5 linked regions of the Xenopus tropicalis genome follow. The protein of the gene in region 1 purifies or fractionates together with the protein of each later gene. This does not show direct contact. Links are inferred from orthologs where the notes say so. Each region holds a gene or a part of one and is shown on either strand. Other genes may lie near its edges. The genes, in order: mtmr2, sbf1, mtmr12, mtmr10 and sbf2.

The links.
Region 2: the proteins of mtmr2 (region 1) and sbf1 purify together in Homo sapiens (affinity purification with mass spectrometry; 6 studies listed by BioGRID and IntAct, with this or other methods). This does not show direct contact. The link is inferred for Xenopus tropicalis from reciprocal best matches to the Homo sapiens genes MTMR2 and SBF1.
Region 3: the proteins of mtmr2 (region 1) and mtmr12 purify together in Homo sapiens (affinity purification with mass spectrometry; 5 studies listed by BioGRID and IntAct, with this or other methods). This does not show direct contact. The link is inferred for Xenopus tropicalis from reciprocal best matches to the Homo sapiens genes MTMR2 and MTMR12.
Region 4: the proteins of mtmr2 (region 1) and mtmr10 purify together in Homo sapiens (affinity purification with mass spectrometry; 5 studies listed by BioGRID and IntAct, with this or other methods). This does not show direct contact. The link is inferred for Xenopus tropicalis from reciprocal best matches to the Homo sapiens genes MTMR2 and MTMR10.
Region 5: the proteins of mtmr2 (region 1) and sbf2 purify together in Homo sapiens (affinity purification with mass spectrometry; 3 studies listed by BioGRID and IntAct, with this or other methods). This does not show direct contact. The link is inferred for Xenopus tropicalis from reciprocal best matches to the Homo sapiens genes MTMR2 and SBF2.

The regions. Positions count from the first base shown.
Region 1 is NC_030678.2:164,724,133-164,729,935, forward strand, and holds the start of mtmr2 (myotubularin-related protein 2), read right to left. Parts: upstream 4,116-5,803; 5' UTR 4,028-4,115; intron 1-4,027. UniProt on the Homo sapiens protein: Lipid phosphatase that specifically dephosphorylates the D-3 position of phosphatidylinositol 3-phosphate and phosphatidylinositol 3,5-bisphosphate, generating phosphatidylinositol and phosphatidylinositol 5-phosphate.
Region 2 is NC_030679.2:89,325,344-89,331,391, reverse strand, and holds the start of sbf1 (myotubularin-related protein 5), read left to right. Parts: upstream 1-2,137; 5' UTR 2,138-2,203; coding exon 2,204-2,258; intron 2,259-6,048. UniProt on the Homo sapiens protein: Acts as an adapter for the phosphatase MTMR2 to regulate MTMR2 catalytic activity and subcellular location. Promotes the exchange of GDP to GTP, converting inactive GDP-bound Rab proteins into their active GTP-bound form.
Region 3 is NC_030677.2:200,722,664-200,728,038, reverse strand, and holds part of mtmr12 (myotubularin-related protein 12), read right to left. Parts: intron 3,952-5,375; coding exon 3,815-3,951; intron 923-3,814; coding exon 829-922; intron 719-828; coding exon 589-718; intron 1-588. UniProt on the Homo sapiens protein: Acts as an adapter for the myotubularin-related phosphatases. Regulates phosphatase MTM1 protein stability and possibly its intracellular location. By stabilizing MTM1 protein levels, required for skeletal muscle maintenance but not for myogenesis.
Region 4 is NC_030679.2:96,951,670-96,957,758, forward strand, and holds the start of mtmr10 (myotubularin-related protein 10), read left to right. Parts: upstream 1-2,544; 5' UTR 2,545-2,845; coding exon 2,846-2,902; intron 2,903-3,257; coding exon 3,258-3,318; intron 3,319-6,089.
Region 5 is NC_030680.2:7,293,271-7,299,379, reverse strand, and holds the start of sbf2 (myotubularin-related protein 13), read left to right. Parts: upstream 1-2,648; 5' UTR 2,649-2,765; coding exon 2,766-2,820; intron 2,821-6,109. UniProt on the Homo sapiens protein: Guanine nucleotide exchange factor (GEF) which activates RAB21 and possibly RAB28. Promotes the exchange of GDP to GTP, converting inactive GDP-bound Rab proteins into their active GTP-bound form.

The sequences.
Region 1 (5,803 bases):
CACTGGGGCAGGGACTGATGGGAATGTGATAGGGACCTTAGATTGTAAGCTCCACTGGGGCAGGGGCTGATGGGAATGTGATAGGGACCTTAGACTGTAAGCTCCACTGGGGCAGGGACTGATGGGAATGTGATAGGGACCTTAGATTGTAAGCTCCACTGGGGCAGGGGCTGATGGGAATGTGATAGGGACCTTAGACTGTAAGCTCCACTGGGGCAGGGGCTGATGGGAATGTGATAGGGACCTTAGACTGTAAGCTCCACTGGGGCAGGGACTGATGGGAATGTGATAGGGGCCTTAGATTGTAAGCTCCACTGGGGCAGGGACTGATGGGAATGTGATAGGGACCTTAGATTGTAATCTCCACTGGGGCAGGGACTGATGGGAATGTGATAGGGACCTTAGATTGTAATCTCCACTGGGGCAGGGGCTGATGGGAATGTGATAGGGACCTTAGATTGTAATATCCACTGGGGCAGGGGCTGATGGGAATGGGATAGGGACTTTAGACTGTAAGTTCACTGGGGCAGGGGCTGATGGGAATGTCATAGGGGCCTTAGATTGTAAGCTCCACTGGGGCAGGGACTGATGGGAATGTGATAGGGGCCTTAGATTGTAAGCTCACTGGGGCAGGGGCTGATGGGAATGTGATAGGGGCCTTAGATTGTAAGTTCACTGGGGCAGGGGCTGATGGGAATGTGATAGGGACCTTAGATTGTAAGTTCCACTGGGGCAGGGACTGATGGGAATGTGATAGGGGCCTTAGATTGTAAGCTCACTGGGGCAGGGGCTGATGGGAATGTGATAGGGGCCTTAGATTGTAAGTTCACTGGGGCAGGGGCTGATGGGAATGTGATAGGGACCTTAGATTGTAAGCTCCACTGGGGCAGGGACTGATGGGAATGGGATAGGGACCTTAGATTGTAAGCTCCACTGGGGCAGGGACTGATGGGAATGTGATAGGGACCTTAGATTGTAAGTTCCACTGGGGCAGGGACTGATGGGAATGTGATAGGGCCCTTAGATTGTAAGCTCACTGGGGCAGGGACTGATGGGAATGTGATAGGGCCCTTAGATTGTAAGCTCACTGGGGCAGGGACTGATGGGAATGGGATAGGGACCTTAGATTGTAAGCTCACTGGGGCAGGGGCTGATGGGAATGGGATAGGGGCCTTAGATTGTAAGCTCACTGGGGCAGGGACTGATGGGAATGGGATAGGGACCTTAGACTGTAAGCTCACTGGGGCAGGGACTGATGGGAATGGGATAGGGACCTTAGATTGTAAGCTCACTGGGGCAGGGACTGATGCATAATCTCTGTAAAGCGCTGAGGAATATGTTGGTATATAAATAAAGGATAATAAAAATAATATGTGCTTCTCATTCTCTCCCAGCCTAACGAGATGCCCTAATTAACAGGGTGTGGAGTAAAAACCACAGGTTTGGTGGTTCTGTCAGACACAAGAGATAACAGACAAACACACCCAAACATGCTTACATACACGCACACGTTTATTTGGAATGGCGCAAATGTGCCCGTGTTTGGGTGTGCCCGTCATGTGTTATCTGTTTGCCTGGGTAATGAGCAAACCTGGGGCAGAATTACACAGTATGGCAGCTCCTCGCAGGATAGAATGTTAGCAGCACAGGAGCCAAACAGGGGCGGAGCTTATCAGAACCAACCAAATGGGGAGGAGCTTATCAGAACCAACAAAATGGGGAGGAGCTTATCAGAACCAACCAAATGGGGAGGAGCTTATCAGAACCAGCCAAATTGGGAGGTGCTTATCAGAACCAGCCAAACGGGGGAGAACTTTTCAGAACCAGCCAAATGGGGGAGGAGCTTATCAGAACCAGCCAAATGGGGGAGGAGCTTATCAGAACCAGAGAAGAGAAAGGGATAAACAAACACTGCTTTCAGGAGCAGGTATTTTTACAATTAACTTTATTTTCTTTCATTAGGTAAAAAACAGGTTTTAGGTGGGGTTCCCCTTCATCTACAGAAATATAATATATTTGTGGATGGAAAGATGCTTCAGGCTGAGGATAGAAAGCCAAACTGATCAGCTGATTCTTGCAGCGTTTCCCTTTTTCATTAACTGGGATAATCAGCAGTTTTATCACAAGCTTTGTTTTATTGTGCTTCCCTATTGGTGTATCGACACGCAATATTAGCACTCAGTGCTGCGTTACTCTATAGCAACAGCAAGTAACCCCTCAGTGACTGCTAATATCCTTATCATTTACAGTAGGGGGTACATTATCCCTTATAATACATGAGTGATACTCAGAGTTCCCTGTATAACTCAGCCTGCAGCCTTGTGCCTTTATATGGGCACAGAACCCCTCAGTGACTGCTAATATCCTTATCATTTACAGTAGGGGGTACATTATCCCTTATAATACATGAGTGATACTCAGAGTTCCCCGTATAACTCAGCCTGCAGCCTTCTGCGGATTTATTTTTCTAATTTTATTGCTATATTTATGTCATTATAACAATATATAACACAACAGGTTCCAGACCTCCGACCTGGTTAGGGAGAGACCACACCAGAACCACAGGTTCCACAAGTGGAAAGGAAATCTGCACACAGGGTATTGTTCTTTTAAAGGACAAGGAAACCCAGAGTCACTGGGGAAGGGGGGGTGCCAGCATGTGGAGGAGGGGGCCCTCCCCTGATGGGTCTGGATAAGCCCCTGGGAATAGGACTAGATCAGCCTGATTTGGGCTAGCACCCGGCTGGCCTCACCCACCAAACAAGCAGTCCTTCCCCGTGTATGGGCAGCTTTTAGCCGAACCAACTTGGCCAATGTTCTGCCGACAGTTGCACTTCAATAAATGAGCTGCCCTTTATACCCCAGCGCCTCATTAACTGCTACAGGGAAACTAATGGAATATAATTATATTTACGTTCCCAACACAAGAGGATTCTGGGTGTGACTGGCATCTCACTATTTATCCTTACACAACAATACACTTGTATGTATATTATCATTATACACCTATATATACATTATATATCATTATACACATACACTTGTACATACACATTATAACAATACACTTGTATGTATATTATCATTATACACCTATATATACATTATATATCATTATACACATACACTTGTACACACACATTATAACAATACACTTGTATTCTGCCCCCCTGGGGAGCCAGCTGCACAGATGTCTGTACCCCCAGCTGTTGCTTCACTGGCTGGGCAATGCCGTGACCTGTCTCTTACTGACAGCTGGGCAGCGGGCACTCACACAGGCTATAAATCACCCCTAACTGTAATGAAGAAGTCAAAGCTAAGTACTGATTGGCTGGGTTCAACCCCCCCCATTAGTTTATAACAGGATATGTACTATACTGACTCATGCCTATAGCAAATCTTACCCAGACTGGTGTTTAGCTGCTTGCCCCTGCCCCAATAACAGCTTTGGGCACCCCAACCCCCTCTCTGGGGTACAGTAGAGCAGATCAATAACAGTTAGAGGCCCCTGACTGCCCCAATTACAAGTCAAATAATGTCTGGAGGATGTTGAGAGTTGTAGTACAACAACTGGAGGGCTGCAGGCTGGGCATCCCACATCCCTACATTGCCAGGGGCCCTCCATGTTTGCAGAAAAGGCAGGATCTGTTGCGGAACTACAACTCCCAGTATCTTCTCTAAGTTTGTGTTTGTAGTTCCTTGTGTAACAGAGCCCCAGCTGTACCCTGATCCGCAATATGAGAGAGAAGCCAACTGTGCCCAACTCTGCCCCAGGCAGGAAGGTACCATTACTGTTATTATTATTGTTATTGGTGCGGAAACAATCAGTGAGACCCCGGTGCCTGAGATTTAGCGGAACTACAACTCCCACAATCCCACCGCAAGGATTTCCCATTCGGGAGATACTGGGGGTTGTAGTGCAGCAACAGGTTGGCGATTCCTGACCCAGAGCTCTAACCCGCTCAGCTTCTACTCGTCTTACAGCGCAACCCACTCCCCGGCCCCGCACTCCCGAGTCCTTACTCACCCGGCTGATAGATCGGGGGGCGCTTCTTCCCGCACCCCAAGATATTTTCTGCACTTCGGGATCGCGATACCAGCAGCGCATGCGCACGGCCAGCACTAGCGGCAACAGCGACACCTACAGGCGGAGCATAGGCGCAACCTGCCCAGGGCGGGGCTTAACCATGGGCCGGAGCAGTCCCTCCCACATTATAGGGCAGGTGTCACAGTTTTGTCCCGTCTGTGGCACAGGGGCGCTTGTGCTATGGCGTAATGGGAGAACTAGTCCGCAGGCGGCAATAATATAAATACAAGCCACTCATTCCAAGAAGGGGGACAGGAGAGGGGTAGGAATGGGGTTACTGAGCGGTCTCAGGTGGCTAAATAAGCCGAGGCTCAGATGCTACCAGTGTGGGACTGAGATGCCAGAGGCCAACAGGAAACCTTTTATTATTATTCCCACTTGCCCATTGTAATTCCTCCTTTGCTCATTTAGTCTCTTTAGTATCTCTTTCTTCTCATACAGGAATAGGGAATGCCCAAGAAATAGGCCCCCGGGAGTTTTCCTGTGTCCCCCATGGGCCAACTCTGGTAAATAGAAGCAGGAGGGCCCACTGACACCCGGGCCCACTTGGCGTTTCCCTGGTATCCTGGTGGGCCAGTCCCAGGGCCGCCATCGGGGGGACATCCCGGGCCGGGCGATTTTACCATTAAAGGGTTAATCAATTCCGGGCTCCTGTCATTGGTCAGCAATAATCCTGTTGGGCGCGCCCAGTGCATACATTTTACGTCAGTACACAAGGGGTGCAACCGTATAAAAGTGAGAATGCAGCGGGGGAGCCTGGGGACACAGCCGTACGAAGCAGGAGGAAGCTGTAGGACACGGGGAGTTGGAGGATGCTGAGAAGGACACTGGGTGAGTTGGAGGATGCTGAGAAGGACACTGGGTGAGTTGGAGGATGCTGAGAAGGACACTGGGTGAGTTGGAGGAAGCTGTAGGACACGGGGAGTTGGAGGATGCTGAGAAGGACACTGGGTGAGTTGGAGGATGCTGAGAAGGACATTGGGTGAGTTGGAGGATGCTGGGGGGCGGAGCTGGAGGGCGCTGGGGGGAAAGTTGGAGAACACGAGGGGGGGGAGCTGGAGGACGCTGGGGGGAAAGTTGGAGAACACGAGGGGGGGGGGAGCTGGAGGACGCTGGGGGGAAAGTTGGAGAACACAAGGGGGGGTGAGTTGGAGGATGCTGGAGGGAAAGTTGGAGAACACGGGGTGGGGGAGTTGGAGGACGCTGGGAGGAGAGTTGGAGGATGCTGGGAGGAGAGTTGGAGGATGCTGGGGGAGGGGAGGAGCTGGAGGATTCTACGGAGGGAGCTGGAGGATGCTGGGGGAGAAATATATATATATATATAGATGCTGTATTGTTATGTGCACCCTGATATTCTGCAGCTGCTCTCCTGCCTTCATCTGCGCCAAGAGGAACACTATAAAGGGAAACTCCACCTGTTTCTATGTATAACTCCACCATGTTTCTATGTATAATAAATAAAATGTCATTTTTTGTTTCCAGTTGGACATTTAAATTATTTATGCTCTGCCTTCTGTAACCCCATATTTACAGTGCTACCTGGCTGTCTGGGCCATTCTGCAGCCACATTTGTTATTATTCCCATTATCTCCTATTCCTTTTTTGGTCTTTCATTCTAACTGACCAGCCACCCAGCCGGTATTTCATTCGCCTAGCCAGTAAAATACCATGTAAAGCAAGTGCCGCTATTACTGTAAAGTATTACAAATGTATTCT
Region 2 (6,048 bases), on another chromosome or scaffold:
AACATAATGGGCTATATGCACTGTAGGGACTTGTAGCTAGACTCCAATAATGAAGTGTTGATGGAGCAATGAGCTACTGAATTACAATTTCTTTTCTCATATCTGCTTATATGAAAGGGTTGAAGTAAATGAGATTTCTGATCTCAGTATGGTATGAGCAGGATACAACCCTTTAGAGTAAGGAAAGGTTGTACATGCTTCTAAATATGAAGACAGAGGAGTGTCCTGTCCTTCATGCTTTGATTTAAGAATATGGGAGACCTGAACGAATCTATACTATTCCCGGAGGTGAGCTGAGTAGGTTTGTTGGAACTTTTCCTATTTAAAGGAGAAGGAAAGGTAAAAACTAAGTAAGCTTTATCAGAAAGGTCTATGTAAATACAACCATAAGCACTCACAGAAACAGTTTTTATCAAAAGAAACACAGGATTTTGTGTTTTCTTTTTTTTGAACATGTTCTTCAGTATCACACTTGGTCTTTTTTAGGGCTTTCAGCTTTGGGGCATTCTCCCTCTCCTCCTCCTTTCTCCTGCTCCCCCCTCCCATAAGACTGCATAAGAACTCCCTGCCCCCTCCCTTAGGAATGTGTGATATGAGCTTCCAACGGCTATAACTGCAGCAGGAAGCTACCAAGACCAAACTAAAATGGCAGCTGCTATCAGAGGGAGCTTCTAGGGCTCTTTACCCAGGTATAGTACAGCTTTCTGCTGAATAAATATAGCATTCTAGGTGGCACTAATGTGGCTAATCTACTGGCAGTAAAATGCCAAAACGACTTTCCTTCTCCTTTAAGAGGGCCAGAGTGTCCATACATATTATTCAGAGTGTTAAGGCCCTTTAACTCCCACCACTGAAATACTCTTCTGTCTATGCCTGGGAGAAATCCTGGATTTCCTATGATAGGGGCTGCAGAGCTGTGAGAAGATTGTGTTGTGTTTTATATTGTCCCAGATTTGGAGAGTATTTTCCAACACTGAAGATAAACTGTCGGGCCTAGAGACATAGGGAACCCAGGACACAGCATTACGTGCAATTTGATAAGTTAACCCATTTAGGTGGTAAAGAGGCATGAAATAAGGGAATTGCTGCTAATTGTGAAGCCTGATAATATTTAAGAAAATCTGGGACACCCAAACCACCTTTAGATTTGGACATTAATATTGTTAGTTTAGACCAGGGATCCCCAACCATTCTTAATCGTGAGCCACAGTCAAATGTAAAAAGACTTGGAGAGCAGCAATAGCATCATAAAAGTTCATGGAGGTGCCAAATTAAGGGCTAAGAGGGAGTCTCTATGCACACTATCAGCTTACAGGAGGCTTTATTTGGTAGTAAATCTTGTTTGTATTCAACCAAAACTTGACACCAAGTCAGGAATTCAAAAATAACTACCTGGTTTGGGGGCACTGAGAGCAACATCCAAGGGGTTGGTGAGCAACATGTTGTTCACTAGCCACTGGTTGGGGATCACTAGGTTAGAGACTCTAAGTGGTTTGGAGTGCCAGATGTACTCAGAATGTTTTAAGTACATTCTGTTTCCAGTGTTTAACAATTTTTTTCATTGGCGTGCAGTCCCTTTTTTCGGGGGGGGGGGGGATCAGGGGAAGGACACAGAAATAAAGAGTGAGCCATTTACTATGCTGCCACAAAAGATCTATCTACAGAAGCACTATGAATGTGCAAAAGGCCTGTTTGGGTCAATAATGAACCACTTTTTGCACATTTTTCAGAGTGCTTCTGCATAAAGATCTTATAGTTGTACTTTAGTCTAACCACCTTACAGAGGTGATACTTTGCCATTGGTTAGTAAGTGTACATATTTACACCTTAATAAGTGTACCTATCTACTAATATTATTTACCTAGCGCTGCGGACGAAGACAGTCCGCTGTCAGTAAAGATACACATGGTTAAATAGTCCCGCCCTTCGACCTAGAGAAACACAAGCCAAAGGCCCATTTGCCAGTTTGTTACGCCCACGTGAGGGCACAACGTTTAGATTTTCGCGGGGCACATCATCCTTCCTTGGCATCAACCAACGTGCCCTCCTCCTGACCCAATGCAGGACTCCGCCCAGCGCTTCAGCCCCACCCCACGACCCTGCCCAGATTCGGTCATGCGCAGTCCCTGGCCCGGCTGGCAGGAAACATGGCGGCCACGGGACGAGTTCGGGGCTAAGGAAGCGGCCCGGGGAACGGGGTGACATGGCGAGACTAGCGGATTACTTCCTGGTGGTGGGGTATGACCTGACTAAACGAGGTGAGAGAGGCGGGCCTGAGGAGTATTAAGAAAATTGATCTTTTGTGAGAATGGGGTGGGGTTGAATACCCGGAGCTGTGGAGGGTGAGCTATTTAGTCAGAAGGAAGCAGGGATGCGCACTCCCAGACTTCTTATCTTGCCCGAATGCGTATGGTGGTTTGCGTTCTTATTCATTCAGTGCCCGGTATAGAATTACGGGATATATATCTTAAAAGCCGCATGAGGGCCGAACGTGGCCGCATTCGCTAAACAGAGCTGCGGGTGATTGGGGGTTACTCAGAGGCAGTGCTTGTTGTGGGTCTGTACTGAATATGTACGTGGGAAATGGTGGAAGCAGTGGGTGTGGACGGGCTATTCTACAGGGGCCGATTCATTTCTGTGGATGTGGTGAAATAAATGAATGTGGAATAACTATTGAACGACAGAAAGGGTGACACTTGTATTCCAGCTATAGCTGGGGTGGCTCAGGGTAACATTAAGCCGCAGCTTTGATGGGCTGCTCCATACAGCTTTCATTTGTGGCTCCCCAGTGAATAACCTACTGCAGCCATCAGTAGCCTAATGGAATATTTGATTGATAGTTGGGAGGGTTATACATTGTTTCTTAAAAAGTGCTAAGGGAACAATGTAAATGTATTATCACCATCATTATTTACACCACATAGTTCCGTTGCTTTTCCTTATAACATGCAGCTCTAGCTATTAATTTAAAACAACTGCCTGTAAAATGCTCTGAGGAGAGGTGATGCCGCATCTAGGCAACATGTTTCCCCTATATATCTTTGTGGGAAGCATCGGCAGACTGTTTTCCTCCTGAACAGTGGCCAATATATACCATCTTCCATATAAAATAAGATCCACTTGTATGGTAATGTTGCCATTTGGCCATGAAGACCTCCGATTACACGGGACCTGGTTCAGACCAGTTGGAAGAGAAATGTATATTTAACTCGATGTGGTCCTCAACTAATAGGATTTTCCACCCTGATTAATTACCCTGACCAGATCTCTATTGGTGAGGCCATCATTTTGGTCCCATACAAGAAGCAATAATCAGTGTGCCAGGTCAAAAAATGGCTAAATCTGCAACCACATACAGATAGACCTTATATTTTGCTCCTTCCACTGAGTCCTGTAAAGTTTTTTTAGTTTTTTTTAATCTAGAGATTCAGCTATTAACATTTTGTGAATGTATTGAACATTATATTGTACTGTCCTTTCAGTGGATATATGACTAATGAATGTATTAAGAGAGTAAACAGAATTCAAGCTCTGTCTATTGTGCTCAGGTAGTTATTACTTCACTAAAGAGAGTGTGCTTCTCTCGTTTGTTTTCTTGTTTTTATCCAATCTATCATCATCATCATTGAAAGGCATATATTGTACTGTTTCACTGTTTGTGTTATCTTTGTTTTTAACTATGTTGAGTTAAGGGAACAGTAACACAAAAATTGAAAGTCTATCAAAGTACTAAATATATAACGTACTAATGCCCTGCACTGGTAAAATTTGTGTTTGCTAATCATAGTTTTATAATCATAGCTACTCTGTAGTCGGGGGGGTAGTTATTCAGATTGAAAAAAGGAGAAAAGGCATATGTTACATAGAAAACAGATAAGATGTGTTATTCTTGTATCTGCTATGTAACCTGTGCCTTATTTTTCTCCTTTTTTTCAATTTGAATAGCTACCCCCAAGGCTACACAGTAATCTTGTTTATATATACTATAGTAGTCTTTCTGAGGAAAACACAACACTTTTACCAGTGCGGGGCAGCAGTACATTATAGCTTAATTATTTTAAAGGACAAGTCAAAATATGATTTTTTTTGCCTATTAAAAGAAAACATAATTCTAAGCAACTTTGCAATACACATTTATACATTTGTAATGGTTTTTGACTTATTTGTATTTATAATTGCTATTAGTAGTAGTGTTTGCCAGCCCTTTTCTATTCTCTGCCCTGGTGGCTCTGGTATTTGAAACAATGTAACACAAGGCAGCAGACTGACAGGCCTGTCTTACTGGAGGAGACTGACCTTTGCAACATTGCTGAAAAATTAACAACCAGGAGTTCAGCAAATGCTACTTTCAGTAGCAATTACATATACAAATAAATTTTAAAGCACTAAGACTTTTCAATAATTTCACATTGAAAGTTTCTTGTAATTGTTTTCTTTTATTAGGCAAAACATTATTTTTTTAGTTGACATGTCCTTTAAAACAATTTCTAATTTTTGTTGTTGTTACAGTTCCTTTAAAGGGTGTATTGCAAAATGTAAGAGCACACACCTTGTGATATATAATAGAAGTGCAAAGACACTGGAGAAAACCCATTTAGTAACTCCAAACATAATCAAAAGAGCAAAAAGTATCTGCACACTCAGAAAAAGTAAATGCAAAAAGAAAATGTATTAATTACAAAATCGCATCATAAGAAACATAGCCCAACACGTTGCAACCCAATAAAGGGTCTTCATGAGGGGCAAAAAATGCCCCCTTTTTAATTTTTCCCCTGATGAAGACCCTTTACTGGGTTGAAACACAATGGGCTATGTTTAATTAATGCATTATCTTTTTGCATTTACTTTTTCTGAGCGTGCAGATACTTTTTGCTTGTTTGATTACCTTTAAAGTGTGTAGGGATACTGCTCTGGGGGGCATGGTCACTGTGTATGTGTAATATGTTGTTAAATGCAATTTTTAAGAGAACAGTCCCAGTTTAGTCTAGAACATTCTGAAATGTAACATATATCTACATGTCAGTGCTTATTATGAGCAAGGGATGTAACAGACACCACTGTATTCAGTACTTGCTAAAGAGAGTCTTGCAGATGTTTTTGCTGTATAGTAGCAATTATGCAGGCAGTACGCTTTGATTTTATTGGCTTAGTGGCTCTAGGGTTTCCCTGCATCACTTGTGCTTAATTCATAACAACATTGGAGATTAAGGCAGGGGTGCTGTGTGCAATTATGCCAAAGTGCAAGCAGTGGGTTTGGACATTTATTATCTTAGTTAATGGAATTTTTCAAAAAAAACAATTGCAGCAAATTTTTGCCTCAATTGGAGTTGTGGTCACACAGTAAAGCTGGCCATACACTTGGTGATGTCGCCAAGCGAGTGGATCTTCACCCGATATCCCCACCTACGGGTGGGTGATATTGGGGAGGCATGTAGGCGAATTAGATCGTTTGGCCCTGGGGCCAAACGATCGAATTCTACGCGCAGCAATGGGGCAGTCGTTTCGGGGACTGCATCAACGATCCAATGTGGTCCCCGATCCGACTGGATTTTCTTACCTGGCCGATCGATATCTGCCCAATTTCAGGCCAGATATCGGTTGGCCAGGCCCCTCGGTTCTGCCCCTACACGAGACCTTAACTCCTACAATCTCTGTAAATTGTTCTGAGATATGTTAAGTCTCTATAAACAAAATATAATAGGGTTGTGCCAAATCAATAGTTTTTGTATTTAGCTTGATATGGAACCTTTGCCAAAGGATTCGTCTGAATACTAAAGAGAAGCTATATGCCAATTTGTATATTAAAATTTGGGCAAAAGGAAAAAATGTATTGTAGGATAAATAGTTTTGCTTTTAGTTGCTTAGGCCTTAAGGCGCATTATGATACAGGCCAAAACATCCCTGGTGTGGATTTCATCTAGGGACCATAATGCTTGTATAACAATGCAAGTCTGCGTTTGTTTTCTCTGGCAAAGAACACTTTCTGTGCGCCATTAACCTAAGAGTCCCATGACATTAAGGGGGAGATTTATCAATCCACGAACGCTC
Region 3 (5,375 bases), on another chromosome or scaffold:
ACTGGTGCAGTTTTCTCCTAGGACGAGCACCGGCCCGGGGTATCAGGTAAATGATTTTGGCACCCCCCAGTGATTGTACCTTTCCTTCTCCTTTAAAGGTATTTAGCCAACCCTTTTTTGAAGGATCTGGTATTAAGCTAAACCCCCCAAAATAATTCTGTGGTTCCCCCAACATGGCACCTCATATGGGAACAGGCTAAAAAAAAAAAGACACTGGAGCACATTTATAAACACTGGGCAAATTAGCACCTGGGCAATAACTTATAGCAACCAATCAGTGATTCGCTTTTCTTCACCAGCTGCAAATACAACCATGAAAGCAAACACTTGATTGGTTGCCATGGGTAACTGCCCAGTTGCAAATCTGCCTAGTGTTTATAAATGACCCTGACTCTGTTCACACAAAAATGGGGGATTATGAATGATCTTTTAAAGTTCATATTCCTCAAGAACAGGGATAAGGTCCACAGGCTAAAATACCTCCTACGAGCCCTGTGCCTCACAGCAATAAATTGATGCGCACTACCTGATGCGCATCAATGTGGCAAGTATCTATTTTAACATCTATCCGCTCAGTGTTCAATCTACCTTTCCGATACTTTGTAGCCCTCATTGGCAGTCAGTACTTTGTAATGCAAGTTGCCTTTAGTCCGCTCTAGCTCTGCCATCCAGTCCTTCACGGTCTCAAACATCAACGTCTTTTCCATAAAGGAAGTTACTACAAAAGGGCAGAAAATATAATAATTGTAAGGCCAAATGAGCTTCCTGTTTCTTGCATAATGAAATACATTAGCCTGCATCAACATAAAATAATTAACATACACTAACCTTTGTATCGTGGGACGGCTGCTGCGTATGAAAAAAGGAACAGCCGTTTCAGTAGCTTAGGGCTCTGAGTATGATGAATTATACCGCTCACAATCTGCAGGGGGGAAAAAACACACTTATTAATAAAAAGGCACACTCAGCAGGGTGCAAATCAACTTCACTGATGCTGGGATACATACCTAGTGCCATCCCTTACATTTTACACATGTATATTCATGTATTACATACGTACATATATATATATTATATAAGCTGGCCAACTACGTCAAAGTCTTCCCCGGTCTTGCCAGTCTTACACACGCTTTTATCTGATTCATTATGAATTTTACTGCTTGTATGTATGTATTTATTTATGAATGTATGTATGTATATCTTTATAAAGTGCCACTTATGTACGCAGTGCTGGGGGTTACTGCAATAATAGATAAATACAAAGTATGATAATAAACACAAATAAATACAAGTTATGGCTGCAATAAGTTAAGAATCAAAGAGACAACAGGTCCCTGTCCTGTTACAATCTAAATATACATTTAACAAAAATATTGAATTTTACCTGCAACTTGCTTGCTTTCAGGGTTAAAATCACCAAATGGCTGCCCTTTTATTGGCTTGTCAGGTGATCCCAGTGGAGCCAATAAAAGGGCAACCATTTGGGTGTTTTGGCCTTAAAAGCAAGTAAGTTGCAGGTAAAACTCAGTCCCTTTGCTAAATGTATATTGAAGCAGTAGAATTCTTAATGAATCAGATGAAAGCGAGTGTAAGACTGGCCAGACCGGGGGTGAGTGAGTGTAGGACTGGCCAGACCAGGGGGTGAGTGAGTGTAGGACTGGCCAGACCGGGGGTGAGTGAGTGTAGGACCGGCCAGACCGGGGATGAGCGAGTAGGACCGGCCAGATCGGGGGTGAGTGAGTGTAGGACCGGCCAGACCGGGGGTGAGTGAGTGTAGGACCGGCCAGACCGGGGGTGAGTGAGTGTAGGACCGGCCAGACCGGGGGTGAGTGAGTGTAGGACCGGCCAGACCGGGGGTGAGTGAGTGTAGGACCGGCCAGACCGGGGGTGAGTGAGTGTAGGACTGGCCAGACCGGGGGTGAGTGAGTGTAGGACCGGCCAGACCGGGGATGAGCGAGTAGGACCGGCCAGATCGGGGGTGAGTGTAGGACTGGCCAGACCGGGGGTGAGTGAGGGTAGGACTGGCCAGACCGGGGGTGAGTGAGTGTAGGACAGGCCAGACTGGGGGTGAGTGAGTGTAGGACTGGCCAGACCGGGGGTGAGTGAGTGTAGGACTGGCCAGACCGGGGTGACTGTGACACAGTTGGGCAGCTTGTATATATTGCAATATAGGGACAAACAATCCCTGTTTTGCTTAAAAGGGAGGGCATTGCTTAGTAGCTTAATGCACAGAATGACTTAACGCCCAAGAGAAGCTCTTGTTACTGTCTGTATATCACACTTCAAAAAGCTTCTTGATCTTGTTTTGCAAGATCAAGAAGCTTTTAGCTAGTTGATGGCTGACAAATGAATACGCTTCCTGTCTGGGTGCTACACAGAGCTGCTGCGGCTGTGATGCATCTGGGGTGGGAGGATTGCTGCTCATTTCCTTTTTCTCAGAACTTCCCCTGTAAACAAACTTTTGGTGCGCCGCAGAGTTTCATTTACTCCTACATGTGAACTCGTCGCATACCTTGATCAATTCACAAGGCCCGCAGAGCAGACAGAATAGGCCAAACCTCTAACCGCATAAACTTTCCCTTGGACAGAATTCTCAGGTTATGCACAAAAAAATACCTTATGTCTACGTTCATTGTACAGTACTCTGTTTCACTCTGTTAAAGGGAACATTACTACTGTTTTCACTTTCACACTGGCCAGTGATAATGTATATATAAAGGGAATAAAAAAAAACAATGCCACTTAAATTGTAGGGCTTTCCTAGCTTTAAACCGATGGCAGATTCTGCCTTGCTTTTATTGGTTCATTTATATTTTTATGTCCCGTAGGAATCCTCTCCAATCTTAAATCTCTCCATTCACTCTAAATAATGTGGTAAAACTCTCACAGACTTTGGTGCTGTAGTCAAGGTGGATGCCTGGTCTGGTCTGTAATTCAGGTGTGTTCAGAGCAAAGTAACGGCATTCTGTCTAAACCCATAAACACCCACTTCAGGGATCACAATGTGACACAATTGAACGTGCTGAACAGGCGACTAATCTCCCCGCAATGCCATCCCACCGGCTAGAATGTAAATCGGCGGTGGGATGGCATACACGTCACTGCAATGTCCCGCAGTTGCCCGAAGTTTCCTCTCAAGGCAACTTCGGGCGATTTACATTCTAGGCGGTGGGATGGCATTGCGAGGAGATTAGTCGCCCGCGACAACGAAGATTTATCGCGGGGCGACTAATCTCCCCGTGTACCCCTGCCCTTAAGGTGAGCCCCGGCAAAAGGTTGGACATCTAAGTGAGGCTTGAACTGGAAAAACACAAAGGACAACCCATTCTTTAGGTGAAGTTGATAAATTTGATGCAGCGTGATCAGAAGATCAGTGTGGGATTCACCAACATGCAGAGAAAGTTAGTCCCATAGCAGGAGAAGCAAATGCAGCAAATGTGGGGGAAGGGGGGCTATGCACTCATATAAAATAAAAGTTCCAGATAATCTTTACAAAGGGGGCAGAGTATTCATTCCACTAGCTGGCCATTTGGAAAGTCTAGAGAGAGCAGTACAGATCCTGTTGCTAAGGCAGTCAATGATCCTAGCAATGAGACAAGCTCTGCCAAAGTGATTATGTTGAGTATTTGAGGCAGTTTACATTCCCTCTACTGCTATGTGGGGTCAGCTCAGAAGGGGTGTAAATACTATACTATATTTCATCCTATTTCAGGACATCTAAAGCTCTGTTTTGTTTAGCCACAGCAGGCTGTTATTCTTCAGGCACAAATGAGCAGTGGTCTCCTGAGAATGTAAGACTGGCTGCTATATTTACCCTCTTGACTTCCTCTTGTTTAGTGTAGCTGAGGCAGAAATGAAACACACGGAAGTCCTTGCAATAGACGATGAGCCGTTCTGGGTATTTCTTCAAACCTTGCCCGGACAGAATAGCTTTCTTTTTATCATCATATACTGAAAAGGAAAATAAAATGCTATTACTGTTATACTTTATTCATATAACACCAACATATGATGTATAGTTTTACAAAGAACTTTTTCCATTCTCAATGGAGCAGGCAGTGTTCAATAGGCTAACCCCAGGTTGGCATCAGCCATTCTGGAAAGGCAGAACACAGTGGGGATAATTCATAAAGACAGGGCAGTAACCCATAGTAACTAATCAGTGGTGAGATTTTTCCATCCTACTGCAGGTTGAACACTGAAAACAATCATCTGATTGGTTGCCATGAATTACTGCTTAGGTGCAAATTTGCCCAACCTTTATGTTCTCCCGATATCCCCACCTAAGGGTGGGCAATATCAGGCTAATTCAGCCCATTAGAACGGCGGGTATAGGCCTGATCGAGAGCTGGCCGATTTCAGGTCAGATGTTAGTACCCATACAAGGGCCGATAAGCCTCCGAATGAGTCTAAAGGACATATATCGGCAGCTACAATCTGCCCGTGTATGGCCACCTTAAGAGTCTGACTAGTCGAATTTATATTAGAGCCCTGGCTCAGACTGCTTTTGCAACTGCAGCTTATCTTTCCTCCGCTGACGCTCCCAGCTTAATAATTAACTTGTGATTTGGTTGATTAATATTGCTTAATGAAACTTGAGATTCCAGGTAAAGATAGAAAAGGAACAACAAAGCAGATGACCTTGAAGGGTTTTTAGCGGTAGTGAATGCAACAAGTGGCCAACTGTGCAGAAAAGGCCAGTTACACCAGGCATTAGTGGATATGTTTTTTTCTGCTCTTGCAACAAATGTCTGCCTCAGACATGCTGTCTTACCTTCTTTCACACTCCTAATTAAATCTTTAATCGGTATCCCAAGGGTTGCTACCAATAAGCATTTAAATAATAGAGTAATCAATATTATTGCCATCTGAGCCAGAGTATGTCTGTAATTCCTGCCATAAAGCAAAATGCTTTGGGACTTTCCTTAGTGCAGGATTGATAAAGGTCCACTATAGAGAACAAAATGTTAAGATGCACAGGGATATGGCCAAATTAAGATCATGGCTGTATTTAATTGCTTTTAACAGTAAAGCATGATTAAACCACTTTCTGTGTGCACCAGGCCCAGACTGGCAATCTGTGGATTCTGGCAAATGCCAGAGGGGCTGTAACAGCCCACAGACAGTCACTATTTATTGGGCTGGTGGGGGGCAGTTTGCCAAGGCCTATTTTAAATCCCAGTCCAGGTCTGGTGAGCACAGAACATGCTTTGTTGGTTAGGAAATAGAGATAAAGAGTGGTTCAACTGTAAATGCCAATAAAGACTGATCCCCGGTATTGTTATTTGGTCTCTTGAAAGCCATGGCCACCATAATCTCCCAAATGAAGGAAATAACTTCCATTTCAGGTGTAATGCCCAACATTATCATGATCC
Region 4 (6,089 bases), on another chromosome or scaffold:
ATACAGTATATATGTGGGCATAAAGGATATAAACAATAAGCTGCTTTACTGTTATATGTACAAATAAAGCGCCCAGCCTGGCTCCATTCCTTTACTTTCCCTTTGCATATGTTTGCTGTTGAGAGGTGTGGCCTCATGACATGCCACAACAAATCAGCTTTCACTCTGTTCTGTCACTCAAACATGTCTGCGCAGACCAGGGAACCAGAGATTCTGGAGGATGGGGGATGGGATGCTGCTTTAATAATTAGCCATAACTTTGAAACGGTGCAAAACTTTTGAAAGCTATAAATTGTCAAAATGTTTGTCTAAACTTTATATTTTCAATATTATGAAAAAATTTTTTTATGTTAGTTCCCCTTTAAAAATTTCAAATAGGACTAGAGAATGAGAATGATTCCTAAATGTGTTGGAATACTAGTTTGCCGAGACACATGTTTTTAATGAATAAATGTTATCCCTTTTTACTCCTGCTCTTACTGTGTGAAATTTATATTTGGATAAAAACCTTACATTTAAAGAACTCCTTAAACAAATTATGTTTTTAGATTTACTGTTAACAGTCTGTTGTCTGGTTTACAACAGAAAGGACATGCCCTCATTGGAGATCAGAGGTGTAACAACAGTGTGCCATGCCACCCAAAAGAATCCATTCTCCCCACAAAAATCTGTCTGTTGCTATCCAAGGATTCACTTACGTTGCAGCCATAATACTGGCTCGTAATAATGTGGCTAGTTTTCTGTATTAGATATTCAAATGTTAAAGTGATACTGACACGAAAAAACAACTTTTTAAAATATAAATCTACATAAAAAGTTGCCTATAGGTCATGTTGATAATTTTTTACTGATAGGGCTGCTTTTGTAAGTAATTGTTATTGAAATCCCAAAACCTGACTGTTTTGCCAACCTGACTGTCCCTTCTCAGCCTGTCAGTTATAGCTTCTAACGCTAACAGACTCCTGCTGGACAAATATGGCCGCCCCCTCATAGGGGAACATGGGGGATCAGATAGGGAATGTAAAAGCATCAGGCAAATACTTTTATGGCAAAATTATAAATAGCATGCAAAGGCAATGTAATGATAGATGTAAAAATGGTTTCATTTCTGGTGTCCGTATCTCTTTAAAAAGGCTTTTGCATATATATTTTACTTACTTTAACTTAATCTAGTGTTTGGGTGCTCAGAACAGGGTGGTTAGAACCCTAAAGCAGTATCCTGTTAGGTGGACTCCCTTCTTACAAGCCCTAAAGCAGTATCCTGTTAGGTGGACTCCATTCTTACAAGGCCATTTTAAGATACTAATGGGCTACAGCAAAGATCCTTCCTGTGAGACCCTTTATTCTGGCTTAAATCTTGCAAGAAATGTATTGCATTACTGCTCCAACCCCACTAAAAAGGGGTTTAGCATACATAATGAAACCTCTTTGCCAAAAAATTCAGAAGATATAAGGAGTAACAGCCTCCATCTTGGTACTATTTTAACTTTTTGCTTTTTTTAAAGGGGAATTAAGCTCACAATGAATATGGCTAGAAACACCATCGTTTATATACTGAACTTGGTGCACAAGCCTAAACATTCATCATTTCTATAATAGTAATGATCTAGGCCTTTAACGTTGTGCATAGGATCTTGTATTTTGTTAGGGATGTCAGTGATGCTGCGCATGTTCAGTGTGCTCTGAGTAGCTGTTGAAAAGCTAGGTTTAGGGTCAGTACAAATCAGCATGCAGAAAATAAGATTCTCATATAATCCAATGCTTTCGGGCTGGTTACTAAATCCTGAGCAGGGAATTACAGGCAACTTCGGAAAACCAAACACCTGTAAGCCTTCCTATTGGCAATTCACTTTATTTTCAGTGGAAAGGAATTTTGGAGAGATTACTTGCCCTCCATAGCCAAGAATTAACTGTGGGTGAGCAATTTCCCCATGTGCCACTGCCCTAAGTACTGTGCCTCTGTTTGCATTGCCTCTTTAAACTGCTTTCACTCTCATTGTTAAGCCAGTCACAGGCATTCCAAGCAACAGTACAGTAACTGTTTATGAGCTATTCATATAAAGGGGAATAGATGTGTATTGTGGTTTAGTGCGTCTGATGCAGGGACCATATATAAAATCCCATAAAGCAAAATTGTCTTCCATTGTTTGCAAAAAAAGAAACCCGAAATAGTTGAGAATAGGGTTGCCAACTTTTCTAGAAAAAAAAATACCGCCCTTCCTATCGTTTTTTCTTTCTGCCCTCTTTATAAGTTTGGGCTCAAGCGCCATTTTTACCAGACAGGCCGATAAAATACCTGCCAGGAGGCAAGTCTAGTTGAGAACCAGGGGCGCAATCTTTTAAAAGTGTAGTAGTAAACGGAAATTGAAGTAACAAAATATAATTGGAGTTATTATTCTTTTATAAGACTCCTCTGAAGAGCATAGGCACAAACAAAACAACCTGAGGTGGAATGAACAAGGAAGGGATGTGGAGGAAATGCAAGGCAGCCGCAGCAATGCATTATTCGGTCAGCAGATGGCGCTGCACAACTCCATAAGCACAAGCAGGAGAGCAGCAGTTCTGCACATGTGCACATCCAGGGAAAGAGAAGGGGGACAGGCTCACAGGAAATCAATGCAAATACTCAGTGCGTGTGGGAGAGACTCTCACACGGGGAAATGTCTGCCCTGAGACGCAACAAAAGCCAGAAAAGCCCAGTCATGAAGGAGGCTGGACGAGTGCTGGAGGGACTGCACTGAAACCCAGGGCTCAGGAGAGGAGCTGCCCTGTGTGCTTTCTGTTCCAGCTGGCTTCGGGCTTCCAGTTCTCTGGGCTACGGAACCATACTACTTGTGGCTCAGCAATGTTCTCTCTCAGGCAACCCAAACCTTCCTTTAAATCCTACCTTCTGCCCCCTCAGGTGAGTGGCTAGTCAGGCGTTACACATCTGTGTAGTTCTGGATTTTAAGCCCGTTGCCGTCTCATTGCTGCAACTCCCACCAGGCTGGCTGAGGATTCTGGGAGTTGAAGCAGAGTTGCAATTGGGCTGCTGTTATTCTGACGTGACATCCCTGGCAGGGTATAGAGATCCGTGCATCCCAGCCTCTGATTGGCAACCTGTGGCTGCTTAGTGTGGGTTTTCAGTATCAAGATTTGGGAGTTGTAGTTTACAAACACAAGAACTGGGGTGTCAGGTTTCTTGGGGTGCACACACACCTGCCTGCATGTATGTTTGCACCCACATTAAGTTTGATTTCTTTATCAAATTTTTGCAGCAAGAAGACAAACTAAATCCAGAGACAAAGATAAAAAAGTTGAAACCTGTCCTTCTGCCAGGTAAGTGATTATCAGTGAGATGTAGCGGATTGATGGCACGCTAATATGGCACAGAGGTGCCCAACCTCTAGCACTTTGTCTACATAAGAATGCTGGGACATGTAGTTCAGAAGTTTGGAAGCATGGTGTTGGTTTCAATTGTTTTAACAACTATTTGGAGAACACACTATAAATATGTGCTAATTATTTGCTTAAAAGGTATTTGCCAATAAATTACATAATAATATGTTAATCAGTCGCTATAAACATCATTATATCTTAAGGGCAATTGTAATTAAATTGATTTATTCTTTTATTGGCGGCTTTATGTATCAAGCATTACGGCAGGGTTAATACAAGCTGATGCACCATGCAGAAAAGGGCTGACATTTGTGCTGCCCCATTCATTCAACTGGAATGTGAGGGCAGGCATCTCTGCTGGAGAGAAGGCATGGCATGTTCTCTTCATTTTGCAACCCCCCTAACTTTGCCTCCTAGGGATCAATGTGGGGGAGGGGGGTATTATAAAAAAAGCTACCCACAAAGACTGGCACTTTTACATCCCAATGGCAATGTTACACTCAGATTGTGAAAGTTTTCTTGGCTTGTATAAAGCTAAGTAATGTCTCATGCTTTGTGTCCCATAACTCCACTTTGGGTGCCATACCCTTTCTCCTTTTAGATTACAAGCTTTATTGAGCAGGGCTCCTTTTTTACTCTTATAGTGCATTTCGAATTGACGTATACCCCTGTTTATTGTACAGCACTCTGCTGTTAGCAGTAAGGGTGCTAAATAAAATGCACGTGGTTTGCCTTATTTTAAGCCTAGCAGTTGAACCTGTGCAGTGACTGGAATATATGTTGTTCTTTATAGCAAGGTGTGATGAGCAAGGTGTGATGCTGCATTTGGCAGGATATATATATATAGATATCGGTCTATATAATATGTTACAGCAGATTGACATATTTCTAATTTAGCTACTGATTGAAATCCCTTATCCCTTATGTAGTGAATTGGAAAGAAGTTTGAAAAGTATCTAACATGGTGTACAGCTTGTCCCAGTGATTGGGCTAGGGGCACTTGCACTCTTGTTCTAAAAGCCAACTTTATTTCCATGCAAAAAGGGGGCTCTGAATGCTTCAGTGAATACAATCCTCTTCCGATCCCCTGCATGCAAATCAGCCTCAGGCATACGCAGAATAGTGAATCGGGCCATTCTAGCAGACACCACAGTGAGACACATTACTAATCTGACCGTGCCCAAGGCATTGATTTGCATTCCTAGGAAAGGAGTTGGTATATCCAAGGCAAAGAAGATTGCTAGAGTGGGTATATCCACGGCAAAGATGATTGCTAGAGTGGGTATGTCATAGACAAAGAAGATTGCTAGAGTGGGTATATCTGAGTCTTGAAAAAAAATATTTCTTCCTACTTGGAGTGAGCCAACCATGACTTAGCATTGAACCTGAATTGCGTTAAAGGCAAGTGGTTATCAAAAAACTTGTCATCCTAAAGCTCTGAAGCTCTGGTGTACCCTATTTAAATAACAAATAATAAGTCCCTTGTAGTTGATGATAACTAGGATAAATCCATGTTGTCAAAACAATGCAGTTAGTTTGCACCTTTTGCCCACTGGCATTTACTAACTTGTACATGACAAGCAGGTGGAATGGGGGCACCTATATTCCTTCCTCAGCCCTTTTCTCATAATTACAGTGCTGTTGAATGCTGGTACTGAAATATTTATGGGGGGTAGTGCAGGTCTTTAGGCTTCACTCTGAAGTGTAAGTCTCTGTGGCCTGTTCTGCAAAGTTCTAGGCAGGGTGCTAAGATGTGAAATGCATGGTTGGTTGTAACCAGTTTTTTGCAATTTGCATATGTGTTAAGGGAGATGGTGGGATTTGTAGTTCTAAACTGCAAGAGTGATGGTAAAGGTTTCTTACCTCTTGCATGAAGTGTAAGTGGCTTTAATCTGATTTAAAGTGATATTGACAGCCACTTAATTTTTTTTTTTTTTTTTTACACCTGCTGTTGTGTTTTCATTTGTATCAGCTTTAAATTCCTTATAAACTAAATCTGCAAAGTGTTTTCGCTTCATAATTATGGTAGCATGAATTACAGACCCACGGAGCTGTCATGTTTGTTCCCCTCTTCCGGGTTTTAATTTAAATGCCTCCCAAGTGAATAAATATACCCAATCACAAACCTGCAATGCCCATTCTGCTTTCAGTCGGTGTGTGACAAGCTCAGCTCCGTTGTCTATGTGTAATGGGGAAGGGGAGGGAGAGCCCTTAGAAGCAGGGAGGGAGAGCCCTTAGAAGCAGGCAGGCAAGCAAGCACGGGAAAACTTAAGCTGGCCTGCTATTTAATTCTTTGTGGGAAGAGCAGAGAGGGGGCACAGCCCTTTGAAGTAGGCAGGCAATAGAAAGATCAAGCCTGCCTGCTATCTAGTTCACAACACCATGCAATGCTATGCGAGGGAGGGAGGAACGGAGGGGGAACTCTTTGAACCAAACGGCAAGCTGAATCTTCCCAGTTTATGACATAGTCCTTTTGACAGATTGAAAAGCTACAGTCGGGTTGCCAGACAGTCGGGTTCAGGATTTTCAGTAGGATTTATGTAGAGAAACAAGACTTTTAGGAAAAAACAGTCAACATTCTTTTTTCCCATAAAAACAATCAACGCACCAGAGGTCACCCCTTTAGATTAGAGGAAAGGAGCTTCCATTTGAAGCAGCGTAGGTGGTTTTTCACGGTGAGGGCAGTGAGGGGGTTGGGGAATGCCCTTCCT
Region 5 (6,109 bases), on another chromosome or scaffold:
ATCTGTCTATCTATCCATTCATCTACCTATCTATCCATCATCTCTTTATCTATCTATCTATCCATCTATCTAAGCGCGTGCTCTCTATCTATCATCTATCAATCCCTCCTATCATCTATCTATCTATCTATCTATCTATCTATCTATCTATCTATCTATCTATCTATCTATCTATCTATCTAATGTGTCTATCTATCTATCTATCCCTCTATCTATCCATCTATCTAAGCGCTCTATCTATTATCTATCTAAGCGCTCTATCTATCTATCTGTCTATCTATCCATTCATCTACCTATCTATCCATCATCTCTTTATCTATCCATCTATCTAAGCGCGTGCTCTCTCTCTATCTATCATCTATCAATCCCTCCTATCTATCTACAGTATCTATCATCTAATGTGTCTATCTATCTATCTATCTATCTATCTATCTATCTATCTAAGCGCTCTATCTATTATCTATCTACATATCTATCTATCAATCCCTCCTATCTATCTATCTATCATCTATCTATCTATCTATCTATCTAATGTGTCTATCTATCTATCCCTCTATCTATCCATCTATCTAAGCACGCTATCTATCTATTATCTATCTATATATCAATCTAAGCGCTCTATCTATCGATCATCTGTCTCTCTATCTATCTATTCTATGTGTCTATCTAGAGCACCTTAAACACTTAGCTTTATGCCAACTTGCTAATGTCCTTTTCCCACTGCTGTTGGTCTGTTCCAGGCTCAATTCTATTCTTCTCTGTAATTATGTCCTGTAGGAACCCGGGCTGAACCAGCAACTGTGCCAGCGTTCTGCCTAACCCATAAACTATCCATCCCTCTATCATCTATCTAAGTGCTCTCTCTCTATCCATCTATCATCTATCTATCTATCGTCAGTCTAAGTGCTCTATCTATCATCTATCTATCTATCGTCAGTCTAAGTGCTCTATCTATCATCTATCTATCTAAGGGCTCTATCTATCATCTATCTAAGTGCTATATCTATCATCTATCTATCTAAGTGCTCTATCTATCATCTATCTATCTACGGGCTCTATCTATCTATCAGTCTAAGTGCTCTATCTATCATCTATCTATCAATCTCTCTATCATCTATCTATCTATCTATTTATCATCTATCAGTCTAAGTGCTCTATGTATCATCTATCTAAGGGCTCTATCTATCTATCTATCTATCTATCTATCTATCTATCTATCTATCTATCTATCATCTATCTATATAAGTGCTCTATCATCTATCTATCTATCCATCTAAGTGCGCTATCATCTATCTACCTGTCATGTGTCTATCTATCTATCCCCCGGTGGGAATCAGTGCCTGTAATACCCCCTGACAGTGCCAGCACCCAGCACCGAGCCCCGGTGGGAATCAATGCCCCTATAACCCCCTGACAGTGCTAGCACCCAGCACCCTCAGCCCTGGGGGGAATCAGAGCCCCTGTAATACCCCCTGACAGTGCCAGCACCCTCAGCCCTGGGGGGAATCAGTGCCACTCATACCCCCTGACAGTGCCAGCACCCAGCACCCTCAGCCCTGGGGGGAATCAGTGCCCCTGTAATACCCCATGACAGTGCCAGCACCCTCAGCCCCGGTGGGAATCAATGCCCCTAATACCCCCTGACAGTGCCAGCACCCTCAGCCCCGGTGGGAATCAGTGCCCCTCATACTCCCTAAAAGTGCCAGCACCCTCAGCCCCAGTGGGAATCAATGCCCCTAATACCCCCTGACAGTGCCAGCACCCTCAGCCCCGGTGGGAATCAGTGCCCATCATACCCACTGACAGTGCCAGCACCCTGAGCCCCGGTGGGAATCAGTGCCTGTAATACCCCCTGACAGTGCCAGCACCCAGCACCCTCAGCCCTGGGGGGAATCAGTGCCCCTGTAATACCCCCTGACAGTGCCAGCACCCTCAGCCCTGGGGGGAATCAGTGCCCCTCATACCCCTTGACAGTGCCAGCACCCTCAGCCTCGGTGGGAATCAGTGCCCCTCATACCCCCTGACAGTGCCAGCACCCGGCACCCTCAGCCCTGGGGGGAATCAGTGCCCCTGTAATACCCCCTGACAGTGCCAGCACCCAGTACCCTCAGCCCTGGGGGGAATCAGTGCCCCTGTAATACCCCCTGACAGTGCCAGCACCCAGTACCCTCGGTGGGAATCAGTGCCCCTCATACCCCCTGACAGTGCCAGCACCCTCAGCCCTGGGGGGAATCAGTGCCCCTGTAATACCCCCTGACAGTGCCAGCACCCAGTACCCTCAGCCCTGGGGGGAATCAGTGTCCCTGTAATACCCCCTGACAGTGCCAGCACCCAGTACCCTCGGTGGGAATCAGTGCCCCTCATACCCCCTGACAGTGCCAGCACCCTCAGCCCTGGGGGGAATCAGTGCCCCTGTAATACCCCCTGACAGTGCCAGCACCCTCAGCCCTGGGGGGAATCAGTGCCCCTCATACCCCCTGACAGTGCCAGCACCCTCAGCCCTGGGGGGAATCAGTGCCCCTCATACCCCCTGACAGTGCCAGCACCCTCAGCCCTGGGGGGAATCAGTGCCCCTCATACCCCCTGACAGTGCCAGCACAGAGCACACTAAGCCTTGAAGGAAGAGAAAGCTCGGCCCCGCCCCCTCCTGGGAATCTCCCCAGTGCGCCTGCGCGCCGCTCAGCTTTCCCTGCGCCCAAACATGGCCGAGCTGCTGCGGCCAAGATGCTGAGGTTTTCCGCTGGAAGGGAGGAAAGAGCGCAGCCATGGCTAGGCTGGCCGACTACTTCATTGTGGTGGGTTACGACCATGAAAAGACTGGTAAGTGCGATGGCGCCCTGCGGGCGAAACACTGGGAATATTGCCCTGGGCACTGGGGTAGGAGGGGGATGCTGGCAGCCTGGACACCCCTACACTTCTGCACATGCAAACACCCCCCCGTACCCAGTGCATGGCGTGGCACATACCATGTTATACAAATAGGGGTGCGGGGGATGGGGTGCATGGCCTACTGCCTGTGTCCCCCCCCCCCCCTGTGCCCCAGTGTTTAGCAAGTTGGGATTGTGTCCCTCCACCCCTCATGTCACATCCTGAGTGACGCACAGGGGGATGTCCTCTCCCAGCACAACACTGGGCCAAGCCTTCTGCTGTGTATCTGTGTGGGGGGATGCAGCCTGGCATTGCCCCCAACATTCACCCCTGCCTGCCGCAGGGAAAGGGTTAATTGGGCTACACTCCCAGGGAAGCAAAGGGTTAATTGGGCTACACTCCCAGGGAAGCAAAGGGTTAATTGGGCTACACTCCCAGGGAAGCAAGGGGTTAATTTTGCTACACTCTCAGGGAAGCAAAGGGTTAATTTTGCTACACTCCCAGGGAAGCAAGGGGTTTCCCACTCTGCACCCCAATATTAAGGAAGGGTCGCTCAGTCTGCACCCCCACATGAGGGAAGTGTTACCCACAATGCTCTTCTAACATAGGGAAGGGTGGTCTCCCCTCAGAACAGCTATTGGAGGGGAAAGGTTGGCCGCTCTGCACCCCCACTGGAGGGAAAGGTTGGCCACTCCGCACCCCCACTGGAGGGGAAAGGTTGGCCGCTCTGCACCCCCACTGGAGGGAAAGGTTGGCCGCTCCGCACCCCCACTGGAGGGAAAGGTTGGCCGCTCTGCACCCCCACTGGAGGGAAAGGTTGGCCGCTCCGCACCCCCACTGGAGGGAAAGCTTGGCCACTCCGCACCCCCTCTGGAGGGAAAGCTTGGCCACTCCGCACCCCCACTGTAGGGGAAAGTTTGGCCACTCCGCACCCCCACTGGAGGGAAAGCTTGGCCACTCCGCACCCCCACTGTAGGGGAAAGTTTGGCCACTCCGCACCCCCACTGGAGGGAAAGCTTGGCCACTCCGCACCCCCACTGTAGGGGAAAGTTTGGCCACTCCGCACCCCCACTATAGGGGAAAGTTTGGCCACTCCGCACCCCCACTGGAAGGAAAGCTTGGCCACTCCGCACCCCCACTGGAGGGAAAGCTTGGCCACTCTGCACCCCCACTGTAGGGGAAAGTTTGGCCACTCCGCACCCCCACTGGAGGGAAAGTTTGGCCACTCCGCACCCCCACTGTAGGGGAAAGTTTGGCCACTCAGCACCCCCACTGGAGGGAAAGCTTGGCCACTCTGCACCCTCACTGGAGGGAAAGCTTGGCCACTCCGCACCCTCACTGGAGGGAAAGCTTGGCCACTCCGCACCCCCACTGGAGGGAAAGCTTGGCCACTCCGCACCCCCACTGTAGGGGAAAGGTTGGCCACTCTGCACCCACACTGTAGGGGAAAGGTTGGCCACTCTGCACCCCTTGCTGGCAGCTGCCCTGTATAGGAAGCCACCATTTCTGCGCACCTGCCTGCAGGCCCAGGGTTATTATCTTTGAAAGAAAATGTGTAATAATTGCACATTGTGCAAAGACACCTGTATAACCTGTTCCTACTGTGTTTTGGTTGTGGAGAAAGAGAGGTGTGTGTCAGGAAAGGATGCTCAGTGATGCCTGCGGCTGCCAGTGGCTTATGGGAGTTGTAGTTCAGTAACAGCTGGAAAGAAGCAGAGAGGTGAATATGTTCTGGTATCCGTCCCAGTTTGGCAAGAAGATGCTCTGGGGCAGTACCGGGCCTATGTACTGTGTATATGCAATAACCTTACACAGGAAACCGAAACAGAAAAAGGGAACACATTCCGCTCAAGTGCAGATAATCTATTTATTCCTAGGGCTCAGCTTCCAATGTATTCTTCTTTTAGGAACAGAATAATCTGCACAGAACATTCCTTCCCTGCCAGATTGCATGGCTTCATTTGCGTAGGGGGCAGCCATATTGCTCTGCCAGCTGAAGAAACCTCCGCAGGCTGTAACGGAACAGCCACCGTGCTGCTGCCATGTACATGGGGCTTTGTAGTTTCCATTGAAAGAGTGTAGGCCTCGAGCTATAATGTGGGTTCTGCTCATTTGCAGAGAAGGAACATCTCGTGCAGATCGTACCAACGCTTTAACTTTACAACCCCTGAAAACGAGCAATGAATGGAAGCTTCCTTTTAATTGGGCAGTGCTTTACTTCCCCTTTAAATTCCCTCACCCTGATTATTGGCCGTATCTTTGTGTTGGATCAGCTGGTCGGATCCCACTTCTGGATCAGAGAGAGAAATAATCTGGGAACAAAGCTGCCCATTATATCATATAATATATAATTATATTTCCGCTCGTTATGTTTGTCAGACAGGGAGTGGAAGTTGCCTGTGGGGCCTAAAGGGGTTGTTTACCTTTAAATTAACTTTGAGTATTATGTATGAGTAATATTGTGAGAAAGTTTGCAATTGGTCTTCATTTTTTTTTATTATTTGTGGTTTTTGAGCATCTTATTTAGCAGCTTTCCAGCAATCTGGTTGTCAGGGCCCACATTTTCCAAGCAACCATGCATTGATTTCAATGAAAGACTGGAATACAAATTGGTCTTCATTATTTATTTTTTATATTCTTTTAATTATTTGCCGTGTTCTTCTGATTCTATTTAGGTTTCCAATGAAGAGGGTCGCTGACCCCAGCAGCCAAAAAACTATTGCTCTGTGAGGCTACAATTTTATTGTTATTGTTACTTTTTATTACTTATTTTTCTATTCAGCTCCTCTCCTATTCATATTCCCGTCTCTCATTCGAACCACTCCCTGGTTGCTAAGGTCATTTGAACCCTAGCAACTAGATAACTGCTGGAGTTCCAGACTGGCAAGTTCCGGAACAAAAAGTGAAATACATTTATGGACTTACTGGCAAACTTGGAGCTTTCTAAACCCGTCGTGTGGTGCCGTAGCTTTGGGCTGATCCATTGCCGCAGTATAGTAAGTATAGTATGGCAACTCCCGCTCAGTGCTGCTTTCTGCATACCCAAAATAGACCTTAGCGCAACACCTTGCGAGGCATTAGTCTTGATGCGTGTTGCTTCTCTCCATCATTTACGCCCACATCCGAGCATCTCGCTGCTTCACGTGGAAGTGTCGGGCAAGGTGGTGTATGATGTTGCCATGGAGATGTGTCGGGGAAACGTCGTCGGCCCATAATTAGCAGAAATACCTAAGTAATACGT